2 linked regions of the Alligator mississippiensis genome follow. The protein of the gene in region 1 purifies or fractionates together with the protein of each later gene. This does not show direct contact. Links are inferred from orthologs where the notes say so. Each region holds a gene or a part of one and is shown on either strand. Other genes may lie near its edges.

What was found. Proteins that work in one complex are often made in the same cells at the same time.
Region 2: the proteins of RPP25L (region 1) and IBTK purify together in Homo sapiens (co-immunoprecipitation; 3 studies listed by BioGRID and IntAct, with this or other methods). This does not show direct contact. The link is inferred for Alligator mississippiensis from reciprocal best matches to the Homo sapiens genes RPP25L and IBTK.

The regions. Positions count from the first base shown.
Region 1 is NC_081826.1:299,908,221-299,915,660, reverse strand, and holds the start of RPP25L (ribonuclease P protein subunit p25-like protein), read left to right. Parts: upstream 1-4,429; 5' UTR 4,430-4,519; intron 4,520-6,996; 5' UTR 6,997-7,007; coding exon 7,008-7,440. UniProt on the Homo sapiens protein: May be a component of ribonuclease P or MRP.
Region 2 is NC_081824.1:71,274,200-71,282,257, forward strand, and holds the start of IBTK (inhibitor of Bruton tyrosine kinase), read right to left. Parts: upstream 3,069-8,058; 5' UTR 2,897-3,068; intron 1-2,896. UniProt on the Homo sapiens protein: Acts as an inhibitor of BTK tyrosine kinase activity, thereby playing a role in B-cell development. Down-regulates BTK kinase activity, leading to interference with BTK-mediated calcium mobilization and NF-kappa-B-driven transcription.

The sequences.
Region 1 (7,440 bases):
AGTAGGGCTGTACGAAATTTCATCACCAGTTTTGTTTCGACCTGTTTCGAGGTCAAAACAGCAAAACTGAAACGAAACAGATATGGCCGAAACAAAACGAGATGCGTCAAAACGTTTCAACGCTGTTTCAACGTTTCGCCCGTGGGCTATAATGGGGAAGGTCAAAACAGCCTATAACTTTGTCATTTCTGGCCAGATTTGGATAAAACTTGCAGAAATGGTAGCCCCTTCTGAGGGCATAAAGCGTGGCAAGTTTCAGGAAGATAGGTGGAGGGGGTTTGGAGAAACTGCACCCCAAAATCCTGAAAGCGAAACTCATGTCGTGTATGTGTTGATCCGCAGTAGGGTCAAACCTGCAGGCATGCTAGCCCCTGCTGAGGCCACAAAGCCTGCTAAGTTTCAAGGAGATAAGTACAGGGGTTTGAGGGAAACTGCACCTCAAGCTGTGGACAAGCAGAACTCATGACATGGGTGACCCTGTGTGTGCTAAGGCACAGCAGGGTGGAAGCTGCAGGGACGGTAGCCCCTGCTGCGGCCATGATGCCTGCCAGCTGTCTAGATCGGTGCAGGGGTTCTGGGGCCCCTGCACCCCTAGCTGCTGACAGGCAAATCTCATGACATGGGTGCTTGTGCAACCGCTGCCTCTCATCAGGCAGGAGGACCAAAGATCCCCCATCACTTGCCACCACAGACCTGGGGTTAATAATTGACCACAGTATGAACATGAGCCAGCAGTGCGATGCTGTAGGCAGCAGGGCCAACAATACACTGGCATGCATCAATTGATGCATCTTCAGCAAAACCATTGCAAAGAAGTGATTCTCATGCTCTGCTCGGCTCTTCTCAGCACTGGTGAGACCTCAGCTGGAGTGCTGTGTCCAGTTCTGGGCTCTGCACCTTAGCAAGGACGTGGTAAAGCTTGAGAGAGTCCAGAGGAGGGCTACCCATATGATCAGAGACTTTCATGGTAAGCCATACAAGGAAAGGCTGAGGGACCTAGGACTCTTCAGCCTGAAGAAGAGAAGGCTGAGAGGGGACCTGGTAGCAGCTTACCACTACACTAGGGGAGTACATCTAGGGCTCAGTGAACAAGTGTTCACCAGGGCACGTACATCTAGGGCTCGGTGAACTGTTCACCAGGGCATCCTTGGTGAAAACCAGGAGTAACGGTTACAGTGTGGACACCCTAGTTGTGAAGTCGTTTTTCCTAACATTGAGCCTGAAACAATCTTCCAGGAGTTTGGGACCATTCCTATCCTACGGGTGAAACATTGAAACGGCAAAACGTTTTGACGGAACAAAATGGAACAGCTGTTTCGACTCGAAACACAAGTCGAAACAAAATGCTGTTCTGTCGAAACAACGCTTCTGTTTCGCACAGCCCTAGTCAGGAGCTCTGGCTTCTGATACCGGCCTCACCAAACCTCTTCCTGCCTCTGCACCTCTCAGGAGGCATGGAGGTATGTGTCCTCTTGTTGGAGCCATGGCTGCTGCAGTGCCCAGCAGCCCTCCCTGAAAGTTGCTGCTGGACAGTGCTAGCACCTGCGGCAGCTCTGCCTCCCATCTCTGAGAGAACTTGCAGCACGTCCTGCAGGCAGGCAGCCTGGACCCTTCACACCTGGCAGCAGAAGCAGGTTCTGCAGCCAGGGCCCAGCGTGGAGCTCCTGCTGTTTGGATGTGGTGAGTTCCCCCTGACAGGGACAGCAGCAGCTCGAGGGGCTCTGAGCCGCATAGGGCCCTGCAGGTCAGACTAACAGCTTAGGATCCACCTGGAAATTGGGTGGCATCCAGTGCAGCTCATGGAGTGGGAGCATCACGTGCCACTTGCAGAGCTACAGCCCACCTACCTGCCCTCAGGTCCACGGGCTGACCCTGGGTGGGGGTCAGAACTCTCCATCCTGCTGATGTGCTGAAGGGAAGGAAATGGGCTTCGCGCAGCTTTCCCGCTGCTCCTGCCAGCATCGCCATGCCCTCGTGTGCCCCCAGCTCCAGCCAGCTTGCTCCCTAGGCACCGAGCCAGGCATCCCACAGCAATGGTCGGATCCGAGGAGGCAGCAGCAGCTGCAAACCTCCCCCACCAGTAGTACTGGCCTCGAGTCCTCCGCTGGGCGTGTGGGATGTTTGTTTCTGGCTTTTCAGCTATTCAAGAAAAGAACCATGGCTGCCTGTCTCCCCAGAGTTACAGCACAAACACACGCTTTTCCTTCTTTGTTCGTTACTTTTGTAACTTTCTCATCCCAAATTGTCCAATCCTTGGGTCCCATACCGTATCTTTTTAAATAAGGTACTCCAATCCTACTCGGTTTTTGGTTTCGTTTTCTTTTAGGGAAACTTGTACCTGGTTTCGCTGACTGTACCAATCGCAGCACTCACTGTTTCCAGTGCCTTATATAAGGCACTTTGTACAATTGCATTGCTTAGTTCTGGGAGGGCCTCGACCGTGGCTAATAGCCATAGCATAACTCAGTTTGCCTGCTACGCTGCTGTGCTGCCGTCTGAGCCTGGTGTGATGACCAAAGCAGGTGCTCTGCAGCTTTAGCTTTAGCTACAAGTTCTGCTCTAGGCTCTAGTGGAAGGCTGCCCCAGCTGCCCTGGTTTGGTATGTGGGCATCTGGGTTGAGGACCAGCAGCAACAGTCCTACTGGCTAGGACCAGTTGGCCTTAGGCTGGCCTCATGGGCTACCAAGGCCTGGTCAACATGTGACTCAGCCCAGCTTTAGGGAATCCACTTGTCCCTGCAGACTGGAATATGCTGGTCCCAACAGAGTTAAATGTGTCAGGACTTAACGAGTGGCAGCAGAGAGACCGGATCTTTGTGCGGTCAGGGGGCCTGCCCGTAGCTGTCTCTGCTTCTAGCATGCCGACGGGCTGGAGGGGGCTGGTGTGGGGTTGTGTCATGTCTGGTGAGATCCCCCTCCTTGGTGCGTGCAGGGAGCGTGTTTTCCCTGGCGTGTGCAGCACCCTGCTCGGGGGCTGGGAGGCATGTCGGGGGGGGCCCAGGCTGCTGTTACCCCACAGCCATGCAGAGCTGCCTGCAGCTGGAGCGATTCCAGGGGGCTGGGCCGTGGGCACACACGAGCTCCTCTGCAAGGGCAGCATCAAACCGCTGCACAGTCAGCCCCAGGAGCCGGCTCTACACTGATCCTCCCAGCTCAGATCTGGTGCCTGTCACCTGGACGCCTCTTCCTATTGGACTGGCTCCTCTGTGGGCTTGAAGTCTCTTCTCCCTGGTAGCCAGGCCCTGGGTGGGGCACAGACCCCAGGGCCTGGCCCTTTTCCCCTCCAGCCTGCACTTGCAGAGCCTGTGAACTGAGCGGCAGCACTTCCAACGCACGGTGCCTCCAGCCGGCCCCACGACCACCCACGAGAGGGAGCTGCAGGCCTGGCAGAGAACAGACGTCCCCTCGTGCACCCGTGCGAGGCAGTCCCCAGCTGATGGTGCTGCTGCAGCGGGGCTCTGGAAGAGCCTGTGCCCGGCTGTAAGGGCCCTGCTTGGCCTCGAAGAGCCCTCGCATTTCTGTCGCTGCAGGAAAGCTACCGCTGGAATCTGTTTCTGCGGTGCCAGCGCTGCGGAAATGCCCGAGACACGGCCCCGGGGGAGCAGAGCGGAGATGGGAACGGCTTATTCCAGCATTGGCAGCGCAGGTCAGGCTAACAGCCTGGGACCCAGCTGGAAACCAGGTGGCATCCAGCGCAGCTCACGGAAGAGGAGCATCCCCTGCCACTTGCAGAGACACCTGCCGCAGCCGCCGGCCCTCGGCGGGAGCTGTGGGGCAAAGAGGAGGGAGAGCCGGGCACCCGCGTGGGGGCATCCTCCTTGCAGGTAAAGCCTTTGCTGCCCCTGCGCCCGGAGTCGCCCATGGTTCGTCAGGATGAAGGCCGGGGGCTGTTGCTGAGTTGGTTGAGTGCTAGAGCCGCGGGGCTGCAGGAGGCCTGCAGAGCAGGGGTCACGTCCAGCCCAGCCCGGGCCACCCCCCTGGCTGACTAGTCACCCTGACAGCCCCGGGCGTCGCACCCGAGCCCACCACGGGCAGCAGGGGCCGCGGCAGCCAACGTCCCGCTGCAAAGGGGGCCAGAGGTGCTCAGTGGACCCAGGCAGGACTGTGCCCCTGCTGCAGAGGGAGGCAAAAGCCCCCCATTTCGGACCAGTGTGAGCAGAGGGAAATCCCTGCCTGCCCCAGTGCAGCAGCAGAGGGCCTGGTGGGGGCACGGGACCGCCTGGCCCCTTCCCCGCGCCGGGCGGCCCATGGCAGGCGCACGACCTGCGCCATCCTCAGCCCCCGCTGTGCGCGCGGGGGACGCCCGCTAGGGGGAGCCGCTGCTCCGCGCCGGAGGCGCCGCTTGCGTCACAGGAGTAGGGGCGGGGGCGGGTCGCTCTTCGCGCATGCGCCCTCGCGGCCCGCCTTCGCGCACGCGCATGCTGTTCGGCGGGCTCGCCACGGGCCGAGTGCGCATGCGTGTTCGCCCCTCACCGGAAGTGGTCGCCGTGTTGCGGCGGGGAGGCCTGGCGGCGGCAGTGGTGAGAGCGGGCTCTGAGCACGCTTCCCGGGGCCCCGCGGCTGTCTCCGCGGCTGTCACCCGGGGGGGGGGCGGGTACGGGCGGCGCCATTGCCCCGCCGGGGGGTGGTGGCGGGAGGTTCCATTCATGCCCCGGGCCCCGCGGATGTCCTGCGGGGGTCCGGGAGGTTCCACTCATTCCCGGGGCGGTTCCATTGATCCGGGGGGGGGGGGGGGGTCGAGCGGTTCCACTGTTCGTTGGGGGGGGTCCCTCGGACGGTTCCATTAATCCGGGAGGGGGGTGGGGCTCGAGCGGTTCCATTGATTCATGGGGGCTCTTCAGGCGGTCCCATGGATCCGTGGGGGGGGGGGGATCTTGGGCGGTTCCATTGTTCAGGGGGTCCCTCCGGCCGTTCCATTGATGGGGGGGTCCTCGGGCGGTTCCATCGGTCGGGGCCCCTGGCGCTGGTGACTCCCGCCCCAGGCGCCTGCTCCCTGGCCAGTGCATGGCCGTGCTCTGCTGTGGGGGTTGCCCCCTCCCCCCTTCCTGCTACGTGGGAGGGGGTTAAGCCCCTGTGGGAGGCTTGCTGGCTGCAGTCGGGGCCGGGCTGTGCCCATGCTCCTGCGGGGCCCTGGCTGGAGGGTCTCGCCCCACGCTGCGCTGGGCTCGGGATCAATCCCCCCGTGCTCCGACTGCGTGTGATAGCGGCGGGACGCGCGGTGCCGGGTCCCCTGCTTTACGCGTGGCGGGTTCGGCCGTCCGGTTTAGCTGGCGGGTTTGCGCGGGGCCGAGCCTGCCTCGGGCGGGGGTTGGACTGGACCTGACATCTGCTCCCTTCCCCCCCCCCCCCCCCCCCCCCCCCCCCGCTGCTTTAGGATTTCTATAAATTGCGATAATATTTTTCCATAATGGGGGGAAAAAGTGAATGGGAGCGGAGATCTGGCATCTTCCAGGGGGGCCTTGAGTCTCTCTCGAGTCTGCGGAGGCTGAGAACCGCTGATCTGTAATTGGCAGGGTCCTAGGGAAGCTGAGCTGAGAGGCACCTCATGGGGTCCCATCAAGTCCGGCCCCTGCTAACCCCCCCCGGCACAGGTCTGTGCACCCTGCTCTTGAACACGTCGGAGGATGGGGAGCTCACAGCATCTGTTAGTCTGTCCCAGGGCCTGACCCCCCCGAGTCTGCAAGTTCCTCCTCGTCTCCAGCCTCAGTTTCCCCAGCAGCCGCTTGAGCCCGTTGCTCCTAGCCCTGCCCCCACGGAGAAGAGCCCACCTCCATCCTCCCTGTCATCGCCTTTCAGGGATTTGCAAACTGATCAAACCCCCCTCCAGCCTTCTCTTCTCCAGGCTAAATGCCCCCAGCTCTTTCAGCCTGTCCTCGCCAGCCTCGCCGCCCAGGCCCCGTCGTTTCTGTCACTCTCCCTGGACTCCGTCCAAACTGTCCCCGTCCTCCTCCAAGTGCGGAGCCCTAGGCTGGACACGGGGCCCCAAGGGAGGCCTCCCCGGTGCTGAACGGAGCAGAAGAATCGCCGGCCTTGATTTGCATGTTTGTACAGCTCAGGAGACAGCTTATTTTGCAGCGAGAGCGCACTGTTGGCTCCTATTCAGCTTATGGCCCACTCATTCCCAGGTCCCTCTCTGCAGCGCTGCAGCCCGGCCCCTCGCTCCCCCGTCTGTATTTGTGCGCGCCGGTTTTCCATCCCAAGTGCAGGACTTGGCACTTGTCCTTGCTGAATCTCGTCCGTTTGATTTCAGACCATTTCTCCAGCTGTTGGACGTATGCGTAAGGCTCGGGAGGTTTACAGTCCAAACAAAATAGGCTACAATGGGCAAATAAACCTAGCAGCGCTGGTTCTCTTCAGCTTCTGGCTCTCCTGTTGCATCTCCCACGGGCGACTGCTTGGGCTAAATGCAGGAGAATGATTGGCTCCAAATGTATCTGCAGCGCGTTATCTAATACCTCAGCATGTTTTAATTAAAGCATGTCTATTACTGCTTTGCATGACCATCTTCTCTCAGAATCCCTGGCCCTGAGCTTTGACAGCATCCAATTAAGTTATGACTGTAATTAAATTCTCCAGTCTGATTAGTTAAACACCTGTACAGCAGATTTTAAAAAGGGAGTTATGTGAAGCGGAGGCATTTGGGATGTCTGGGATTACTCTTCGCTTGCATGCCATATGGTTGTAAGTGCTGGAAACTGTCTGATGGCTCTCGGGCGAATGGCTGAAAGGCAGGGACTGTTTTCCTTCGTTTGTAGAGCATGTGGTAGCACTTTAGGCAACACAATATAAATACCTGATTTATGGATTAAAGCACCGTTGCCATTCCTGACTTCGGGTAGGTATTTCAACCATGTCCAGAGTCGGAGCATGTTGTGCTAAGCAGTGATTCCCCGCAGGCTGCTTGGCACGAGGCTAGGAACGAACAGACGAATCCCTCTAAGACAGCCTCATGAATCATGATTAAGAGATAATCACCAATTTGTGCTTTCCTTTGCAGTGTTGGAAGCAATGGAGAACTATAAAAAGAGCAAGATTGTGGAGAAGCCCTGTCCTCTGCCTTTCTCCAACCTGCCCTCAGACATTATCGAGATGAAGGTGAAGGACGGCAGCAAGATCAGAAACCTGATGGGCTATGCCATCGGCAAGATGGAGGCGGACGCTGTCAGGCAGATCCTTTTCACTGGCTCGGGCAAAGCTGTCGGCAAGACCATCACCTGCGTGGAAATCATGAAGCGGAGGCTCAAGGAACTCCACCAGGTCACCAAAGTGCTCTTCAGACAGATTGAAGAGATTTGGGAGCCCATCGTGCCCGAGGCGGGCCTCGACACCTTGACAGTGAAGAGGAACATCCCTGCCATATGCATCTTGCTGAGCAAAGATGCGCTCGATCCCCAAGAGCCTGGTTATCAGGCTCCAGGCTCTTTCGAGGCCTTCTGGATTG
Region 2 (8,058 bases), on another chromosome or scaffold:
AAATGAATGTGCATCTCCTTCCTCGTATTTTATTTTAACAAACAGTGGGAATGCTGCAGGGGAAGAACATCTACCTCAAGAAAAGGAACAGGAAGTAGCACATTGCCCTCCTTCCTTTGATATCTGCTAAGCTGTCTCCACAGAGTTGGCAGCCCCAACCAGAAAGTAAGTGAGCAAGCTCCAGACTCAAGTCTCATTGCAGACTGTCATTAGAATGCTTTGTTGATAAGAACATTTTATAAGAATTTTTACCTATAAATTCAAACTGAGCTCAGGTGTAGCTTTAAATAAACATCAGTTTTAGCCCCTTTAGTTGAATGATTCGTACTTTCTAAAGTCATTTGGTAATAAATACAATACCTGCTTTGATACTCTGCAATCCAAAGAACAAGCCTTAAAGTTTAGTCTACATCATTAAAAAGTACTTATACAAATCTTTAACCCTCATCTTCCCTATTACTGGGGGATCATATAATCATCACCAAAATTGCAGCCAGAGAGGGACACAATAATTACAGCATATATCCTGACTTTATTTTGAAACAACTATATCCCAATGCTGAGCTGTCCTACTGCGCCCTACAGGATGTTCTTATAAATAAACAGAAAAATACAGACTAAAAAAAATTACCAGATCTTTGGACATGATTTTTCATTGAAAAATTATCAAGGATCTCTCAAATGGAGTATTCAATTCAACATTTTCAACAACCTGGATTGCAGAACAACATGTTCACTTACCAAACTTGTAAATGACCAAGCAGGGATGACCTGCAACTACTTCGGAGAACAAGACTTGAACTCAAGATGATTTTGAAAAATTAGATAAATGATCCAAAGATCAGCCAAATGAAATTTGGTCAAGAAAAGTGCGTTTAAAAAGAAACCAAATGTGTATATGCAAAATGGGCAGTAACTGTCAAGGTAATAGTTGCATGCAAGAGAATATGAGCTACCAATAATGTGAAGTTGCAAAATACATACCAGCAAGCCTCACTCTGGAATGCTTCAACCAAAGTGTTGTATATACAACCACATGGGGGAAGGAATCATCTCCACAGCACCTGTAATGCCTCAACTAGAATACCATGCCAGTTCAACCACCACTTTTTAAGATGGATGAGGGTCCAAATGATAAAATAATGAGCGTTAAGAGGTTTAGAAAACAATGACCTACAGAGAAAGGTTGAAGGAACTGAGTTTCTCTCTAGAAGAGAAAAGACTGAGGACACAGCAGCTGTCAAACATGGAAAGGGTTCTATTAAAGAGGAGTGATGAGTCGTCCTCCAGGTTCACTGTAGATAGGATGAGAAGTAATCAGCTTAATGTGCAGCAAAGAAGATTTACATTGGACTTGAGGAAATACTTTCTAACTATGAGGTTACGTAAGCACTGGAACAAGCTATCTATAGAGTTTGTAGAGTCCCCATGACTGAGATTTTTAAGAACAGGTTAAGTAAACATGAATCCAAGGTAGTCTAAGTACGTTTGCTACCTAAGAGTAGTGTTTTATTTCACCTTAAAGTTTCTCTGATCATAACACAAACAGTTCAAAATGCCAGGTAACATGCTCCAATTATTGTTTTTGTCACCAAGCAGCACATTGGCATAAAGTCTCCTTTCTGCCATAACTGTGGTTGGAGAAAGAGTAACAGCACCCCAGCAACTCCAGTCTCCTTATCCAACGTTCATTCCTCACTTTGTTAACCTTTTAATTATTAATGCACGCTATAGATAGAAAGGTTTGTATTTAATTCATAACAAAACATAAAAATGCCATTCATGTAAATTACAACACTCATTTAAATCATCCTGGAATGACTTCCACTTTATACATAGTCCATGAGCCAGTTAAAAAAAGATACAGCTATGGAGAAATTTTAAGTTAAAAACAAAAAAGAGCAATGGCACAACTGGAAATGGTCAAAACCATTCTGACTTCACACAAAAGCACAGCTGTTTTCCCTTCCCATTATTTGCCAGGACCAGGGGCTGGGCCTTTGCTTTAACTCTTCACATTCAAATTGCTCAATGCTGCTGACAAGTCAGATCTGTGAACCCCAAATATTATTTCAAAGATCCCCTGTACAGTCATTGGAGATTTACAGATGTGCTACCCGAAACATGAAGCTCTGAAGTCAAGCTGGTAAATGCTTCACCAAACATCCAGCAAAGTGAAACCAAATGCCTGGGGGCAGGAAAAAGAGGTGGATCCAGGGAAATGCACTTGCACCCTCCCCCTACACTTTGATTCCTGCTCCACTGAAACTTCAAAACCTAGTGCCTAGCAGCAGCACCATGAACTCTGTCCCAGCAGTGCCAAGGGAGACACTTGACTTCATGTATCATTATAAACCTACCTGATCCCTTCTAAACTCATCCTACCACTGGTAACAAACCTCTTCTTTTTAATCGTCTCCACGTACTCAGGGGCTGGCCTTTGTGGCTGCTTGCTAACTCTGGGAAAGACGCTATTTCACAGCCCTCTGCACTCTTTGTAACTCCTTCAGCAATTCGTTTTCATTTCCATCTTAAAAGGGAATAATCCACCTGACCCCTCCCACCATTAGCAAAGCTTCGATCTTATTTATACTGGAGAAAAGTGTGTCGTTTTACACGTGCTGACAGCACCGCAGCACCTGAACCCCCTTTTCAGGAGCCGAAACCCGCCTATGCCTGGGGAGGCTCCCGGAGTGCTTACGACGTGGCGCAAGGGACAGCAGCGGAAAGAGACGAGCAGGAGCAGCGGCGCCGCCAGCGCTGCCCCCGGGGCGGCCGCTGGGCCACTGCTCCTGCCCGGGCGGTTACGGCCCGTTAAGACGCCGGAGGTGGAGGGGGGACCTGACCGCCCCGCCCCACTCCGCCGGCCCGTGCAGCCCCCCCGCCGCCTCCTCACCAGTCGCTAGATGACGGGGCCAGGGCGGGGGGAACAGGCCGCGCGCTGGGCCTCACGGGGGCTCATCCTCAGTGGCGACAGCGCGGAGCCAGGCTACTCTGCGAGCCTGACCAGGGGGCAACTGCCACGGCTCCGGCACAGAGCTGGCACTAGCAGGGGATGAGCAACGGCCCCACCCCGCAACAAGGCCGCGCGGGATTGGCTGGAGCGCCGCACGTCCCGCGCGTCCATTGGCTGCCGGAAGCCAGGGCGCTGCCCAATGCCGCGGAGCCGGGCGGGACTGACGGGGTGGGCTCGGGGGACTGGACGGGAACCGGGACTGGACAAGCATTGGTGAAACCAAGCGCGCCGGGTTGTGCCGCTGCCCCTCCGACTCCCGCAGCTCCGAGCGGGAGCTTGGGCTTGGCCTAAGGAGCCCGGGGCTTTGCAGCGTGCGGCGAGGGGGCCGCCAGCACTTCTGAAGGAGCCGGAGGCACAGAGGCTTCCCCTGGCCGGGGGCAGCGGGCAGGTGACTCCTTGGGGACTAACTGCAGGCTGATGCGGTGCCTCCCTGCGCTGCCTCTGCTGACTTCAGGGGCGGGTGATAACTCCCTCCCATCCCTCAACCAGTCAGCAAGGGCGAGAGGAAACGTTGTCAGGCGAGAAGAAAAGCTCCGAAACCAGCGGCACTAAGAGAAGGAAAGCAAACCGCTGTTGTGGCGAAGAAGGCGGGGGCCTGGGGGTTTCTTTGCTTCCCGGCAGGGGGTGTCAGGCACCCAGGGCCCTGCCTGGGCCCCAGGCTGCCACCTTCCCAACAGCACAGGGGGCAGATGCAGGTGGCCAGAAACCTCTAGCTGGGCCTAGCAAGGGGTGGGCAATTATTTCTGCTGGAGGGCTGCTTAAGGAGGGTGGTGAGGGTAGCCCTGCCCTTTGACAGGTGCCCTGCCCCCTGGTCACCATCTTGGAACCAGAAATCCTGCCCCTGACCTTTGCCACCAGAAGTCCCTCCCCTTGCCATGGAAGTATATAAGGGTTGTGCACCAGGAACTGGGAGAACAGTTCACCAGGGCCCCCCCAAAGGATAACAAGGTCTAACGGCCACAAATTTCGGGAAGGCTGATTTAGACTGGACAGAAGGAAAAACTTCTTTACAGTCCAAATGTCCAAGGTCTGGAACAGACTCCCCCCAGAGGTGGTGCAAGCACCTACTCTGGGCTCATTCAAAAGGCGTTTGCATGCTTATCTTGCTGGGATCATTTGGCCCCAGCAGACTTCCTGCCTATGGCAGGTGGGCTGGACTCAATGATCTTGTGAGGTCCCTTCCAGCCCCTAATGTCTATGAAATCTATGAAGTACTCCTTTTTGGGAGGGGTGGGGGTTGCGATCGTGAAACTGGAAAAAAACGAATCGTATACTAAAAAAAAAAAAAATCAAATAATATCTACTATAACATATTTTAAAATAAAATTAAAATATTTTTGCCCTGTTGTATGTATTTTGGTGTAGAGGTGATTGCATAATAGCTCAAAATACAGTCTTACTCTTGTATGTTGTGTCAGGGGGGAGGGGGATAAGGGGACACATGTGGGGGCTGTGTGGTTGTGGAGTGATTATGGTAGGAGTGGGGGGCTGTAAGAGTGTGTGGGAGTATGATGGGGGAGTGTGGGAAAGTATGTGTGTGGATATAGTGAAGGGTGAGGGGGCTGGGAGTGTGTGGGGGGCTGTGGGAGGGTGTTGGTATGGGTTGGGGGTATGGTGGGAGATGGAGAGCCAGCCCTGCGCATCCTATCCTGACTGCAGCATGCAGTTTCGGCCTACAAGGCTGGAACCCATATGGTGCAACATGAGGCCAGCCTGGCCCAACCCATTCAGGCACAACACAGTTCTGGCTGCAAGTCCAGGACCCACATGGCACAGAACAGAGCCAGCCTGGCCCAGACCCTCTGTGCTGTGCCACATGAATCCCGGGCATGCAGCGGAGAACCACATGCTGCCCAAGAGGGGACAGGGTGGGCTGGGCTGGCTCCCTGCTGCGCTGCATGGTTCCCAGGTCCAAGGCTGGGACCTGCATGGTGCAGCACAGAGCCAGCCTGAACCAGCTGGCTCTGTGCTGCACCATGCAGCATATAGGTCCTGGCTGCAAAGCCTAGGACCCACACAGTGTGGCACAGAGACAACCCAGCCAGGCCTGGCCCATCCCAGCAGCATGCAGTTCTGCTCTGCATGTCCAGGGCCCACATGGCACAGCATGGAGCTGGCCTGGCTCAGCCTGTCTCCTCCCAGCAGCACATGGTTCCTGGTTGCAAGGCCAGGACCCACACAGTGTGCCATGGAGCTGACCTAGCCTGACCCAGTGGCACACTAGAGTGCCAGAACCATGGAAAGTCACATGCCATCAAGCTGAGCAAGCTCCATGCCTACACGCGGTGCTCCTGGCACTCTAGCCAGGAGTGGCACATGGAGGCACACAGCCAGAGTCCCACCACCCCCACAGAGTGGGACGATCTCCAGTGGTACTTCTCCCCCCGCCAGTTCTCACCTGACTTTCAACTCTCGGATGAGGGAGGGCTGGGGAACAGCCACAGGGTTGCCAGGGCAGAATTCTCTACTAGCCAGGAGCTTCTGGTCTCCAGAAGCTCTGTGGGGTGAGGAAGGGGCAGGGTAGGGCAGTCCGCTTTCAGACAGGCAGCCTCCAGCAGGTAATAATTATCTAAATTTTAGAGGTGCCCGCAAGCCTGATCGAATGGCCTGGCAGGTCGGATGCAGCCCACGGGCCATATTTTGCCCAGCCCTGGCCTAGCAGATACCCACTCGCTGCCAGAAAAGTGGTCTGCCTAGGTCAGCTGGCCCTTCACCTCTTCCAATATAAACCCCTGCCCTGGAAGAAGAAATGTCAGAGCAATAAGGTTCAGTCCTGTGTCTGGGTTGTACCTTCAGGTCATGCTGCCACTGGTTTCCTGACGGTCTCCAGGCCTGACCTGGCTGGCCTGTGGACCCCAAGCTTGGCCTGATCCTTTGGATATTTGACCCAATTCTGGTTTGATCTCCTGGATATGTGACCCAGCTAGTCTCCTGGCCCTGTGTTCTGCTCGACTCTGGATTTCTGACATGTTTCCTGGATGGATCTTCGGGCTTCCTGACTTGCCTACCTCTGATGTGGCCTGCTCCCCTCAGACCTCAGCTGTGTTTCTGACCCATAGATGATCCCCCAGACCTGGCTGCCTATGTCCTGGCTTGACAAGGGGTAAACATTAGAAAGGTGGTAGAACACCTTTGAAACTAATAAATGGGGAGCTAAAAGGTACAGAATAGGGCTCAGATTGAAACACCCTATAGGGGTGAAGCTGTGAACAATAAGCATAAGAAACAGACTAGAAGTATGCAGGTGAAATATGAGAACAGCATGAAAAAATAGATTTACTAATTAAACTGTCATATACAAGTGGCCACCCAGGCAACAATAAAAAAGATTTATATTTATATTCTTATGTATTCCTATTCTTATTTCAATAATTTTTTTTAAAAGATTCTGGCTTTTATACTAATGCCAGAATTCTAAGGTCCAAGACTGAGGAACTTGACTGCCTAGCAGTAAATAACAATACTGCCATACTAGATATCTCAGAAATGTGAAGTGAGGAAAATCAATTGGAAGATGTAATACCAAAATACAAGTTATACAGAAAGCTAGACTACATCAGGCACAAGTGCCAGAGTATGGCACACAAAGTCATTTTGTTTGGCATGCGCACATTGGGGCGAACAGCAGGGAATGGGCTGGGGCTGCACTGCCACAACAAGGATAGGGGCCCCCATGGCTCCCCCACCATCTGCCCCTGACACACCAACATCTTACAAGTCAAGGTTGCAGGTGTTTTTGGCACTCTGCCTAAAAACATTGCCGACCCCAGTACTAGATCGGACTGGTGGGGGAGTGGAACTCTACATCAAATGCTGCATTGACTCAATTAGGGTAGATTTGTTTTTTAACTGATGAGAGAGGTACCCTAGGACCTCTGTGGTTAGAAATGCTAAGTTTCAATAGAAAAAGTATAGCTCCCTTCTCCCCTCCCACCAGACCAGGCTAGAAGCAGCAAGGTAGAAATGCTAAGGGAGTTGAGACTGCAAAAGCAGAAAACAGAAATAATGGAGGCCTTAAACTATCCACAAATAGAGTCAATCAATCTGGCCTGGGCCAGCATGCACACGGCTTCCCAGTGGGACTGCTCCTAGTGTGGCTGCAACTGCCCAGGTATTCCTTGGTTCCCCCTGTCTCTACCAGTTCCTCCTCCTGCTGCCCCTGCTATACCGCTCCAGGCAGCAGGTAGCACAGGGAAAGACAGCAGCCATGGGAATGCCTGCTGGGCACCACACACCCAACCAGGCAGGGGGAAGCTGCTGCTGGGCAGCTCCTGCCCCAGTGTGTAGGGCTCCAGCTCCCAGGCACCTTCCACCTACTCTGCCCACCTGGTGTGATAAGCCACGTGGGTGGAAGGTGTCTCGGAGCTGGAGCCTTGTGTGCTGGGGCAGGAGCCACCCATCTGCAACTTTTCCCCTGCCTAGCTAGGTGTGTGGTGCCCAGCATGCATCCCCATGACTGCTGCCCTTCCCTGTGCTACCTGCTGCCCAATGTGTTGACCATTCAGTTCATAATTTGAACTCCCATCACTGGAATCTTGTTTTTGCAAATGGATGTCAAAATAATTGCATAAGAGTATATGACAAAAAATAGTTAACAACTTTTTAGTCAGGGCAGTTGGTCACTGTATTTAAAATCAGGAATTTCAGCTTCTCAGAGGTTTGTGTATATTTCCAGAGGCTGTCTTAAACCAGAGCACAATGTGATAAAATGATGACATTTGTAGACAATGTCATTAAAGCAACTTCTATTTAATTCTATTTAATCACTCATAGGATATAATATAGTAGTAATTGTTTTCAGTCCTTACTTTAAGCAAAACTCTTATTAAAACAGCTAAGAATTTTACCAAAGTAGGAACTTGAAGGACTTCTTTGTTTAATAGTATCACAAGTTAGAGATAACTTAAATCTACCTCTTAAGTAGAGGTGCATCAATATATCAGTCCATATCGTATCAGCACCAGTAGAAGGAAAATAAACATTATTGGCAATCAGCTTTTTTTGTTCAATGTGGCCGATTATGTCACCCACCGATAAATACC